2 linked regions of the Oryzias latipes genome follow. The protein of the gene in region 2 purifies or fractionates together with the protein of the main gene of each other region. This does not show direct contact. Links are inferred from orthologs where the notes say so. Each region holds a gene or a part of one and is shown on either strand. Other genes may lie near its edges.

Region 1 (6,100 bases), on a different chromosome or scaffold from region 2:
TCTTCTTGTGGGAGGTGCCATTTTATTATTGACCAATAAGCGTTCAGTTCAAACATGCGACTGTTTTTTTGTTTGTTTAACAGGAATACAGTATTGTTTTAAGATGAGAAAATTGAGAAGTTTACTTTCCTCCTTCATAAGCAAACGCCTTTTTGACATGCGTCACATCTAATAGATTCCATGTGTCGTGTATATATACGTACAAGTACAAATGTGTCTATGATTAATAGTAACTATAGTGGCATAATTTACATGCATATATCTGGCATCGTTTGCTTTTGTTTTTAGTCACAATTAACCAGAACTGCCTTAATCCTTGGTGGCATAGATTCAACAAGGTCCTGGAAACATTTCTCAAAGAGTTTGGTCCATGATGTCGACATGACAGCATCACGCATTGCTGCAGATTTGTCTGCTGCACATCTACGATGCCAACCTCCCGTTCCACCACACCCAAAGGTTCTCCATTGGGTTGAAATCTAGGAACTCTGCAGGCCATTTGAGTCCAGTGAACTCATTTTCAAGAAACCAGTCTGAGATGATTCCAGCTTTATGACATGATGCAGTATCCTGCTGGAAGTAGTCATCACTGTGGTCATAAAAGGATGGACATGGTCAGGAAATGATCAGCTGGTCTAAGGGGCCCAAAGTGTCCAAACTGCTCACTGGATGTGATCTCTTTTTCTGACAATTCTCTGTAAACCATAGAGATGGTTGTGGGTGAAAATCCCAGTAGATCAGGAGTTTCTGAAATACACAGCATAATAGTCACTTAACTGGCTTTTCTTCCCCGTTCTGATGCTCGGTTTGAACTGCAGCAGATCCTCTTGACCATGTCGACATGCCTATATCCATTGAGTTGCAGCCATGTGATTGGCTGATTAGCAATTTGCGTTAGCAAGCAGTTGGACAGGTGTGACTAATAAAGTGGCCAGTGAGTCTATATCTGGATAGTCTTTAGTATTTTTTGTTTTGATTGAAATAAATCAATTCCAAAGTATGTGATTTCTTAAATTAAAAAATGACATCAAAAAACACATTTTAGTGTATAAATGTGAATGAATGGGGCTGTAAAGTGGAAAATCATTCATGTTTGAGGGGAAAGTTTCACCGTAATTATGGACACAACACAATTAAAAGTTCACTAATGTTGTATATATACCAAAAAGTAAATACAAATCTGCATTTCTTATCCTCTGGTTTTTAACTTAATTTGGAAAGAAAACTTTAAGCTAATTGGTTTAAATTGTTTGATCAGTTAATTACTTTATAGCAGGTATTTAAATAAAAAAGGTATAAAATAAAATTGTTTTTTGTTTCCTTAAACCATTAAACCCTTTTTCAAGGTTTGCTTTGATCACTTTTTAAAACTTTGTTGGAACAAACCACTTTTTTTTTTTTAATTACAGTAAAACATTCTTCTTCAGCAATGGAGGATGAATTTAACAGACAGCAATCTGATAATCAGAAGACAGAACTAGGTGAAATATTTGTCCAAAGCAAATATTGTGAAAAACATTTATTTTTATCTCCTTTTCTGACTTTGAGGCTGCGGTTCATATTTTCTGAGTTAGTGCTGAGCAACTGTACAATTTTCCTACGGGGGGGGGGGGGGGGGGGGGAACTTAAATAAAATCTGAATATGTATTAATGTAAAAAAAATTAAAAAAAATAAAACTTCAGAAACCGTTTTTGTAACCACTTAAAACAAATGCAAATGCAGCATTTTGTTGCTCATTTTGTGCGTTACAACAGCTGCAGACCAAAGGTCACGAGGACACATCAGGACACAAGATGGCGTCAACCTGAAGCGGTGGTGAAACAGGAGCAGCAGGGCAGCACAAACAATAAGACTCACAACCAAAAAAAATACTCTCAACAGAAGCCCAAATGTCCAGTTTTGGTATTTATTACCGCATCTTTTTCAGGGCCTCTGAACGTGTTAAAATATTTTTTCTTATTTTGATGGGATTTTTTTTAGCTCTAAAACTTAAGAATGAGTGATTTGTTTTTATTAGCAAAAAGCATTTCCAACATTTAGGAATAAAATTAAACAGAAGATTCTAGTCTGCATGTGTTCAGGGCATAAACGCAGTCATGTCTGACATTATTTACAGGTTCTGAAGATTTTCTGGATATGCCAGCTGCGAGTGTTTTGGTGGCCAGTCATCTGTGCAAACAGATGCAGATTTGTGTACAATCAAGACAGCTTTCTGATGAAATACAGTTGTCTGCGATGAGAACTAGAATGGCTTATGGTCCGTGTGATCGGGGAGGGTGGAAAGATGCGGGCTTTCCCAGCCTCCAGGCCTGGCAGCGGTAGTGCAGCTCAGAGTTCAGAAGGTCAGAAAGTAAAAATGGGCGGTAGTTTCCTCTCCTAAGCAGGAAGTCATCAGTCCACAGTGCGTTCTTTTGCCTCATTGGTAACTCGTGCTCTCAGGGTTCAGCTGTCACTGCAGAACCAAGCCAACCTGAGACAAAAACCAACCAGAACAAGTTTTTAAATTCAAAAGTTTGCCACGTTGCTGAAAAAATTAAATAAGGTTATAGTTTCTCTGATGCCCTGTCAGATCTGTGCTCACCTGGCGTGCACTGTATGAGCCTTAATTGGTTTACCCGTGTTACTTCACCCATTTACGCTTTATTTTCTGTATTTATTTACTCATTTTAAAAGATTATTTCTTTTTTTTTCTTCCCTCTTTTAATTTTACGTATTTTCTCAACTGGTTTAATTTCTTCATTTTTTTTCTCAAACTAAATTTGCTTCGAAAGCATACATTTGACATAAAATAATGTGAATGTTTCCAATTAAAAGCCTGCAACATTTTGACAACCTTATCTGCAAAAGGATTGTTTTAATCATAATTAAACCACCACTGAAAACACTTTGAAAATAAATCAAAAGATGACCCGACTGGGACTTTAAAAAAAAAAGCAAACAGTCACTTCATGCCCATCTGCAGAAAGTGGTACGTCTAGGTCATGGTGTGAAGCTAAGACCTACCTTCTCTGGCCCCATGCTGGGACACTTCCAATTGTACAGATAATACTGTAGATTCCCATCACCGATGCCAAATTTCAACTTCTCCAAGAAAGTCTTGTTTTCCATTAAATCCAGTGCATTAAAGACATCAAAGCCTTTCTGTAAACACACACAAAAATCAGTTTCTTGTGTGCATAATCTTTAAGCAGCAGTGTTTTTTTTTTGTTTTTTTTTAAAGAAATGACGAAGAACAAACCGATTTGGCCAGAATGAGAGCATCAGACATCAAATCAAGCAGTGGGGTGGTGGTGTGCACATTGTAAAAAGAGTATGCTGCTTTGAGACTCCGGTGCACAGGATGGTTCATGATGGTGGAGGGCAGCGTGTAGAAACTCAGGAAGTCCGTCACTTTTCCATTCGACTGTCAGACGGTAAAATAAAAAAAATTAAAACAATCACACGGATCAGTGCCATAGCGGCAGAGCTAAAACCTTCTCAACAACCATTTACCTCCACAAGATAGGTGTCAACAATGTTCTCCTGGGGCAGAAACCAGTGTTCCACCTCCTCCTGGTTCATGACAGGCACAAGGTTGAACTGGCTCAGGTATTCACGGAAAAGGCGATGCACCACTGGCACATCCTTCTTGGTCATCGGTCGCAGACCAGAAGTCTTTGGAGCCTAAAGGAGGAGGGGCAAGGGAAGGGCTTGCATCTTAAAAGTTTCCTTTAACTATCTGACTACCAGAGGAAAAAAATAGCACACTCTAATTTTTTTTTTAATCTACCAAAAACTACAATTCCCAGAATCCCCCCCATTTGCATCTGACATCATTGAAAAGCCCCAAATGTCCTCTGTAGACACCAAAATGAGGTCATTTAGCAGCAGTGGTTGGGAAATATTCAGGTTATTCTTAATTTGTCCTCTACAGATTTCTGTAGAAATCTATTCCATTTCTGTGGATTTTGCTGTAAAAAAAGACAACAAAAATCTCTAATGGAATTAATTTTTTTGTTCCGTTTGAGATTTATTGTGCAACTATTGAATAGAACATTAAATAATCAGTAGAAAAAGAAAAACATCAAGCATTCCCTATAAAGTGTGCAAATCATGGAATACTAAAAAATTTTTTAAAAAAGTAATATTTACCCCAGTACCAGGTGAAAACGACCACGTGGTATTTTACATTTTAAAGATCTGATTAAAAAAGAACAAATTTCTTAGATTTGCTGCTTAATTTGTGCCACAACTAACCTCGGGCAGGCGGTAAAGCTTCATTGTGCGCTGCATAGTCATGTTCCTGCTCAGATGGGAGAACTTGACCTCAATTAGTTTCCGTGGGTTCAAGGAGCGATGCCAGTACCTTTGCAAATGAAAAATGGCAAAAATAAACTCAGGAACATCATGAGGAAGAAAAAGTTGCTTCTCCATGACAAACCTGCAGGTGCCTACAGGTTTGGGCAGCACGACTCCGGCTGTGTACACAGCCTGGAAGATGCCCTGCAAATTGACCCTTCTAGTGATCTCTCTGATCAGAACTGGAGCGACCCGTTTGGAGCGAAGCTTCTTGTGGACACAAAGGAAGTTGATCTCAACCATTTTCTTTTCTCTAGAGCAAAAAAAAAAGAAAGAAAAAATATTTTAAACAAAACATTTTAGACAATTTCTCATGTTTAAACAGTCCCACAACTCATTCAGACAAAAATGGGAGGTGTGATAGAAATATTGACATTCATTCAGGTCAAGATTTCATCTCTTTACATATCGTAGATGCGAATGTTGGCTGGAATGGCGCTGATGAATCCCACAAGCTTCTGGTTGGAGTTCACCCTCACACCACAATGCCACTGTGGCAACCAGCCTGGAGGTCGCAGCGCCCTGAGAAACACAGCAGCCAGTCACCTTCACAGAACGTCCATCTGCTCTTTGTTATAAACACACCTATTTTTAAAATTATGTTGGATCTTTTTTAAAGGCAAAATGATAAATTAGGAAAAGTTACCAGAGAAGAAACTCAGGAGAGTAGTCAAATCTGAACATGTTGTCATCGTCTTCCACATAGTTCTCATTGAGAAGAGTGTAAAGCTCCTTAAGCTGTTTTAGAGAAGCACAAGGGAGCAGTTAACCGTTTCAGATTCAGAAAATCCCTTCTGAAAGAGAAGACTTGAATCTGAAAGTTACATTTTTTTAACCCACGTAGATACTAAAAGCTCTGAGAGTTTAAGATGTGCAGCCTATGATATATAAGCTCTTGCATTGTCTAAATAAAAGATCAAGTTTAACATATTTCGGCAGTTTAACGGCAAAAATATCCAAGTTGCTTAAAAAAATGAAAGCATAGATTGAATCTAAATGGATTAATATTATTAAAAGTAATAATATGAACTGTAGATTATTATTTTAATTGAAAAGGATTGAATGCCCAGGTATTGTTTCATATGTCATTCAACCTCTCGTACCACAGCGGGATCCCCCAGGTCGAGGGTGTCCCAGCTGAAGCCCTGCGGGAGGCTGTAGGGCTCCTCTCGAATGGCGTCCTTATCAGGTTCAATAGAGCCATGAGACGTCACCGTCTCCCCTGTGAAGTCAAAATAACACGCCACATTATGACATATGTCTCGCTTGACCTTAAGTTCTGAAACCTCTGATGTTTCTCACACCTAGCTTGGGAACGGGCTGCGTGTCCCAGAACTGGTAACTTCTCCGAGTGGCTTCCTCCATGGTCTTGGCTGGACCTTGGCCCACAGAGAAGAGTTCGATGGCCTTTTGGATCTCCTGTAGCTTATCAGCTGGCAATGAATTCACCTGTTTTTGAAGACCAAATAAAAAGATCTTTATTAAATTAAATGAAAAGAGGGGAGCAGCAGACAGAGAAGCTTACGACATTCAAAATGAGATCTACTTTTTATCCAAGATTAAATGAACCTTCCACATAAAATTTGATCTTAAAGACCCACTCCAATCATCTTATGATCTAATGTTAGAGCCTTCCCAGTGGTCTTTCAATTATGATTAAAAAACTTTCATTTTCTATAACGTAGTTTCTGTAGAGCGGCAGTAGTTCATTAGAAATTCACCTCTAAGTCGTGAGCGTGACCACTGGCACCGAGTAAGCCC
Region 2 (6,187 bases):
CGCGCGCTGGCAGCACGCGCTGCCGGGACCTCCTGGTAACTGTTGATACACAAACAGCGTCTTCTTCCTCACCGTTTGCGTCTGAAGAGCCCGTTGTTTATTTCTGCAACAATATTACCAAAATAAATGAAACTTTGCAGAACTGAACTGTTTAATGTTAATGTTTCCATCACAACTACTTATTTTAAATAGAATGATACTTTGTTTTTTTAATAATAACAACAGGTCCATTTAAAAGCATTATAAGCTTTAAAATGGATTTGTTTCAATGCCATTATCAATAACAAAAAAACAGAACAATAAAACAATAAATGACATTGATTTTCAATTATCGTAATATTGTAAATAATTTTTTGGGAAGCCCTAAAGATTACATTTTATTAGCCAGACTTATTTTAGTTGGCAAATGGCTCCTTTAAAATGACTTGAAAGTTAAAAATTGAGTTGGAGCTTCCATTTTTATGCATTTCTTGGTTGATTTAGTTATGATTTCACCCAACTGATTTTAAAATCCTAGATGACAATTCAGTTTGCATTTTGATTGTTCGATTTGAAAACGGCTATTATTTATTACAGGTTATGTGTGAAAATATCTTCATAAAAAACATCAGGCATTTTAAAATCAAATATGTAATAATTTAAGTCTTTAAGTGTGCTGGTGTAAGCAAAATATTTACTTTTTACTCTCAAACTAAATAAATTACACAGCTGCTCTTTAAAATATGAAATGAAACATAGGAGTAACTACTGTAATATGCCTAAAAAAAGGAAATCAACTAAACTGCATTTAGATATAGGCTGTCCAGGAAAACACCTCCGAGGCCAAAGACTTCCATTTTTGTGGTACAATAGCGACCTCCTCTGGACAAATTGTGTAAATAGGTTATTATTATTATGATTATTATTATTATTCCCATTTTTTTCTATTGATTGAAGATGGCACATGGCTTAACATACAGTAAATTAACACACACACACACAAATCAGTATTTGCAGTCTTTTAATAAGTGTTATATATTATAACTATATATGTTTAAGGGTTACTCTAACTGCACAATGTTAATATGCATATACATTCCCAAATAGGCCTGTTTTAACCCTTGTGCTATCCTAGGCACGTTAACATTGGGAGTGGGGTCATCTAGACCCACTAGACAGTGCTCTGAACCTTTTTTCTTCAATGATTTGTGATCTTCACTGGTGTCCATGGATTACATGAAATCCTTCCACCTTTATCCACCTTTGTCATGGTAGGGAGAACACCTCAATGCAAGGGGGGGGGGGGGGGTCATCTAATACATCACAAGGGATAATTCACATCATTTTCTATATCAGCATCCTTTATTTATATGTCTGTTCGTGTATTAAGGCTTTAATTACATTTCATGTATACCAAAAATAAATAGAAAATTGGTTTTTTTTTAGCACTCTGTTTATGAACAGAAAATGTAGAAGATTAAATTACAGTTCTTCATTTTCGTTTGGTAGAAGGATTTCATATGTTACATATCAGAAATAGAGCCTGGGAACATCATTTTTGGTTTTAACCAGTTTTGTATATGATTTTTAAATGTTTTTTTTTATGCATTCAGAAATTAAATAATCAATTGTATCAAAAGAATTTTCACAGAGTAAATGCATTTTGTTTTGAGAAATACTGTTCATAAGTCATGGTTTGTTATGTCTGTTAATTCAATTTCCTTGCTAAATACGCGAATCCACTTAAATTGAAAGGGAGTTGTGGTTATGAAAAGAGAAAGGGTTTAGTTCAGTAGCCTAAATTTACTTTTTGTTTTGTTTTTTTGGACAGTAGTGTTAGTGGTCCTTTGTTCTAAAGAGGCAAGTCATTAATACCTGGTTTCATCTGTATTTTATGCAGCATCTAATTTTTTCCTTAAGATTCATTTTAGTTTTTAATTACTTGCATTATTACATATTTTTGTGTGTGTTTTTGTTTGCTTCTTTTTGTAAAATACGTTTTAAACAAATGTTTTACAATTAGGCTTAGTTAGTTCTACAGCTTTCTAGTTGACCAAACAGAGAAAAAGGAAAAATATAGCACCTCATTAATGACGATGTCATTTGAAGGGCTTACTGCAAAATATTATAGAAATTAACGTCCATAATCCAAAAATATGATCTCTGTCTCGCCAAAAGAAACCATAGTAAACTTTAAAATATATTTATTTTATTTATTTACTTTATTTTAATGTTTTAGTTTCAACAATTTGAAGAGAATGTGAGTAGAAGTGAAGCCGGAACGATTATTCTGCAGCCTTATGCGACTCCGGCGCTTTTAGTTGGCAGGACCAGAGATGGACCAACGGTAGAAACAAATCCCATCGTCGCGGAGTCTCAACGATGACGGAATAACCGTGAAATAATGTGAAAACGGTCACCGGAACCATCGTCCTCTCTCGTTTTTAACCGTCGCCGGTAGCTTCACCCTCGCGGGTTCTTTGAACATTAAAACAATGGCTTCTGGTTCGCCGTCGTCCTCGCCGGACACTGCGACAGGCTCTGGTACTGATCCAGCCCGGCCCGACACAGGGGAACCTTTCGGCGGAGCAGGCTCGGATTCGGACTCGGACTTGGGTTTGGGTAAACTTGACTGTGGCGCTATGGGGGAGCGGTTGGAAGGCGAGGAGCTTGAGCGGGAGTTCGACTTTGCAGCCGACCGAGTTAAAGACTTGATCCAGACGGCGAGCAGGGAGCAGCTGCTGTACCTGTACGCCCGCTACAAGCAGGTATGTGACGTCACTGGGACAGGTGGCGTCGGGTCGCCCGGTGACGTTCTAGTTCTACCGCCACTAGCCTCAAAGAGGTCGTGACATTTAAACGAAGGAGTTAAACCTCCTCATGTAGCCAAAGCATGAATGGAGGTCAATGACACAAGTCAATAGATTGTGCTGAGAAGTCAAAACCTTCTCTGGTTAAACTCGGGTTTTCATAGTAAATCTCATTCATATTTTGGTTTTTATTGAAAGTTCTGTTCATATTAATGTTACCGGCGTCATTTTTCCATATTCCCAGGTCAAAGTTGGAAAATGCAACACATCTAAGCCGGGTTTCTTTGACTTTGAAGGACAGAGAAAGTGGTAAGTTACTTAATGATTATAATGTAATGCACAACAGTAAAGCCCCACTCAATCATCTTTAGATCTATTTTAGAAGCCTTCCCAGTAGTTTCTTAATTTAATTTAGTCTAAATCCAAAAACTGTCGTTTTCTAGGACATAGTCTCTGCAGGGCGGCAGGAGTTCATTAGAAATTCACCTCTGAGTTGTGGGCGGGACTATTGGACTATGGAGTAAGCCTGCCTTAATTTCCCAGCATCCCTTTGTTTACACTCTCTCCCACTAGTTTACTGCCCCTCACACCCCCAACCTAACATTGCCGGTGCAACAAACATGGCAGCAATGTCAGAGCTGTGCAGCCGTCCAGTTCTGACCCGGACACTGGCTCAGACCAGGAAAACAGCGCCAGGATGATGCGGAGCAGGCAGCTTACGGCCGGCTGAGTGGAGTTTCTAAGGAACAACCGCAAGCTTTTTCAGATGGCAGTTTTGATTCACAACAATTTGACCAAAGACAAACTCAGAAACACAGTTTAAATCAGAATCTTATTCAAACATGTCCTCCAACGTGACACAAGAAGAGCATGTTTAAAAACACAAAAAAAATATTTTCATTGGAGTGGGTCTGTAAGTAATAATCAGCTTTATTGACCAAGTATGAGTGCATAGCAAGGGGTCTGGCTTGTGTGACTAAAGCTGTTATGTAAAACATCAACGCATAAATAGGTGTAAATATATGAAAAAGAGGGGGAGTAGATGTACACGGCATTAAAGCGGGTTTCAAGTCCTCTTGTTTGAGATTTCACACACAGTGACTGAGAGTTGATCAGAGCCACAGCTTGGGGGCAGAAGCTGTCTCTCTGGTGGGCGGTTTTGGCGTAAAGAGCCCTGAAAGGCCGGCTGAGGGGAGGGGTCTGTATTGGGTCCGCTGAGATCTGACCAGCCCACCTCCTGACCCCGGACCGCTACAGGTCCTGCATGGAGAGGAGGTTGGAACCTATAGCCGGACGTTCCCACACAACCATTTTTCTGTTCCATTGAAATTCCAACATAGATGGAGCTTCAGGTGATGTTAGAGGAGACGATCAGATGATTGTCTTCCTCACCAAATGTTCTGTCTGGAATCTGTTAGAACAAGAGAAAGGACACATTTTCTCATCCTTAAACCAAACTGGGACTTGAAAATCCTCAGTGTCGTCACGTCTGACCAGAATTCAGAACATTTAATCACTAAACAGACAGTGATTGACTGTGGTTTTATGCTTTTATCGTTTTATCGTCTTTTATCCGTGTTGGATATTCTTATGCGTCATTTCTTCCTCTTCAAATCCATTTTTTTTCTTCCATAACACGGAGACTTCAGATGGAATGTAGCTTATGGCTAAATTCTGGCATACTTTTACCTTTGTGTTTATTCTTTATCTTCATAATGTCCTGTTTTTAATAAATAAATGTTTAAAAGGGAATTGTGATGTTTTGACAGGCAAGCCTGGAAGCAGCTTGGAGACATGGATGCAGAGCAGGCAATGCAAGAATACATAACCTGTGTTAACGCGCTGGACCCTGAAGGCATCGCAAAGGTAAGTGAAGCACTCGTGAGGGGATAGCGCTCATAAATGGAACATTGGTGTTTTTAGATGATGTTTAGATGTGACCAGAATGATCCTGTAGTCTTCACTTGTTTAAGTTATTGGTTTCTCTTATTTTCTGACACTTCTGTATGTTGATCATTCAGCAGATTTTATGCCATATCTTCATCGGTTCTCTTACTGTTACCATCTTTACTTGAAAGCAAAATGCTGGAAAATCATATCTGTCATCAGTTTGGTATTTAATGTTCATGAAAACAGACTCCAATAACAAATAAACCTGGGGGGTATTCCAGGAAGCATGTTTAAACTAGCCTGACTTTAATCCTGAACTCTGGCTGAAATCCGCCTGAACTTGCTTACTCTGGGTATGTCGGTTCCCAAAGACCGGATATGAGTTGGCGTAATTACGCTCCACTTGGTAACCCTGGGTTAATGCACGTGCACAGCAGGTACATAAAGACATTCTCAATAGATCGCAGATTTCCAGTGTCGCCATGGAAACGCTTGGAGAAATATATATAAATTATCCAACTTATCATCCTCTCATGGTGGAAAAAGTATTATCTGAGCTTCTTCATCCACTAAATCATCTTCAAATGGACACGCCATGCTGCTTCCCCTCTCTGTAAACAAACTAACCTTCAACTAAACCTGCTCCAGACCAGGTTATGTTCAGAGCATGAGTTGCTATGGCAACTTGACCTACCCTGAAACATACCTCCATTTCAGGAACCTAAGGCTGAGGTTATCAACTTCCTTAGCCTCAAACTTACCGTGGGAGCTAGCATAACCTGCTTTCTGGAATACCCCCCCCCCTGATGACAAAACCACAACCATTCTGTCTTTTCTGTTTGGGGGATGTAGTGTCGTATCTCTGCCAGTAGGTGTCAGTGTCATTTAGTCAGGATTCCTGCAGACTAAAGAACTTCCAAATACTTTTTAGTATTTTTAAAACTTGATTATCTGGGATAAGAATTTCTCTGGAAATCATTGAATTATAGATGCCAGTCAGTATGAGGATTTCCAAAATGTTTTCATATAAAAGCACAATAAACCATTTCTTCTTCTTCTTTTTATCTTTTTGTTTTTATTGTTATTTTTGTGAAGCTGCAAAGAAATAAAAGTATTGTATAGGGTTTTAACATAAACATGTTCCTTCACCACTTTGACCACAGTAGGAGTTAAAAGAAGCATCTTTCCTGTCATGTTTTGTTCAGCTTATCCATTGTGTTTAATGAAGTTTTATTTTTAACCTTTCTAGTCAGAAGACTTTATTTTATCCCAGGAGGAAATTGCATTTTCAGCAGAGCTCCGATCACCAAATTTCCGATAAAAGAGGATCTGTTACGATACAGATCAGTGCAAACTAGCAGTGTTTGAAACCAAACACATAAAACTGTCAGGTGGTTTTCTGAGGTCAGCATGTTTTCATGGAACAGTTCCTGAGGGGATCCTTTGTGCCAGGGCTTTGCCGGCATGGTCGGTGTTTGTTGCCGTGGTTCTCGCCCTTCTGGGGCGGC

What was found.
Region 1: the proteins of acbd6 (region 2) and glycylpeptide N-tetradecanoyltransferase 1 purify together in Homo sapiens (co-immunoprecipitation; 3 studies listed by BioGRID and IntAct, with this or other methods). This does not show direct contact. The link is inferred for Oryzias latipes from reciprocal best matches to the Homo sapiens genes ACBD6 and NMT1.

What each region holds. Positions count from the first base shown.
Region 1 is NC_019866.2:5,207,097-5,213,196, forward strand, and holds the end of glycylpeptide N-tetradecanoyltransferase 1, read right to left. Parts: coding exon 6,061-6,100; intron 5,789-6,060; coding exon 5,644-5,788; intron 5,562-5,643; coding exon 5,443-5,561; intron 5,078-5,442; coding exon 4,986-5,077; intron 4,862-4,985; coding exon 4,745-4,861; intron 4,593-4,744; coding exon 4,422-4,592; intron 4,347-4,421; coding exon 4,238-4,346; intron 3,665-4,237; coding exon 3,494-3,664; intron 3,405-3,493; coding exon 3,240-3,404; intron 3,143-3,239; coding exon 3,005-3,142; intron 2,472-3,004; coding exon 2,451-2,471; 3' UTR 1,892-2,450; downstream 1-1,891.
Region 2 is NC_019862.2:32,234,998-32,241,184, reverse strand, and holds the start of acbd6 (acyl-CoA-binding domain-containing protein 6), read left to right. Parts: upstream 1-2,288; 5' UTR 2,289-2,474; coding exon 2,475-2,747; intron 2,748-3,033; coding exon 3,034-3,098; intron 3,099-4,558; coding exon 4,559-4,655; intron 4,656-6,187. UniProt on the Homo sapiens protein: Binds long-chain acyl-coenzyme A molecules with a strong preference for unsaturated C18:1-CoA, lower affinity for unsaturated C20:4-CoA, and very weak affinity for saturated C16:0-CoA. Does not bind fatty acids. Plays a role in protein N-myristoylation.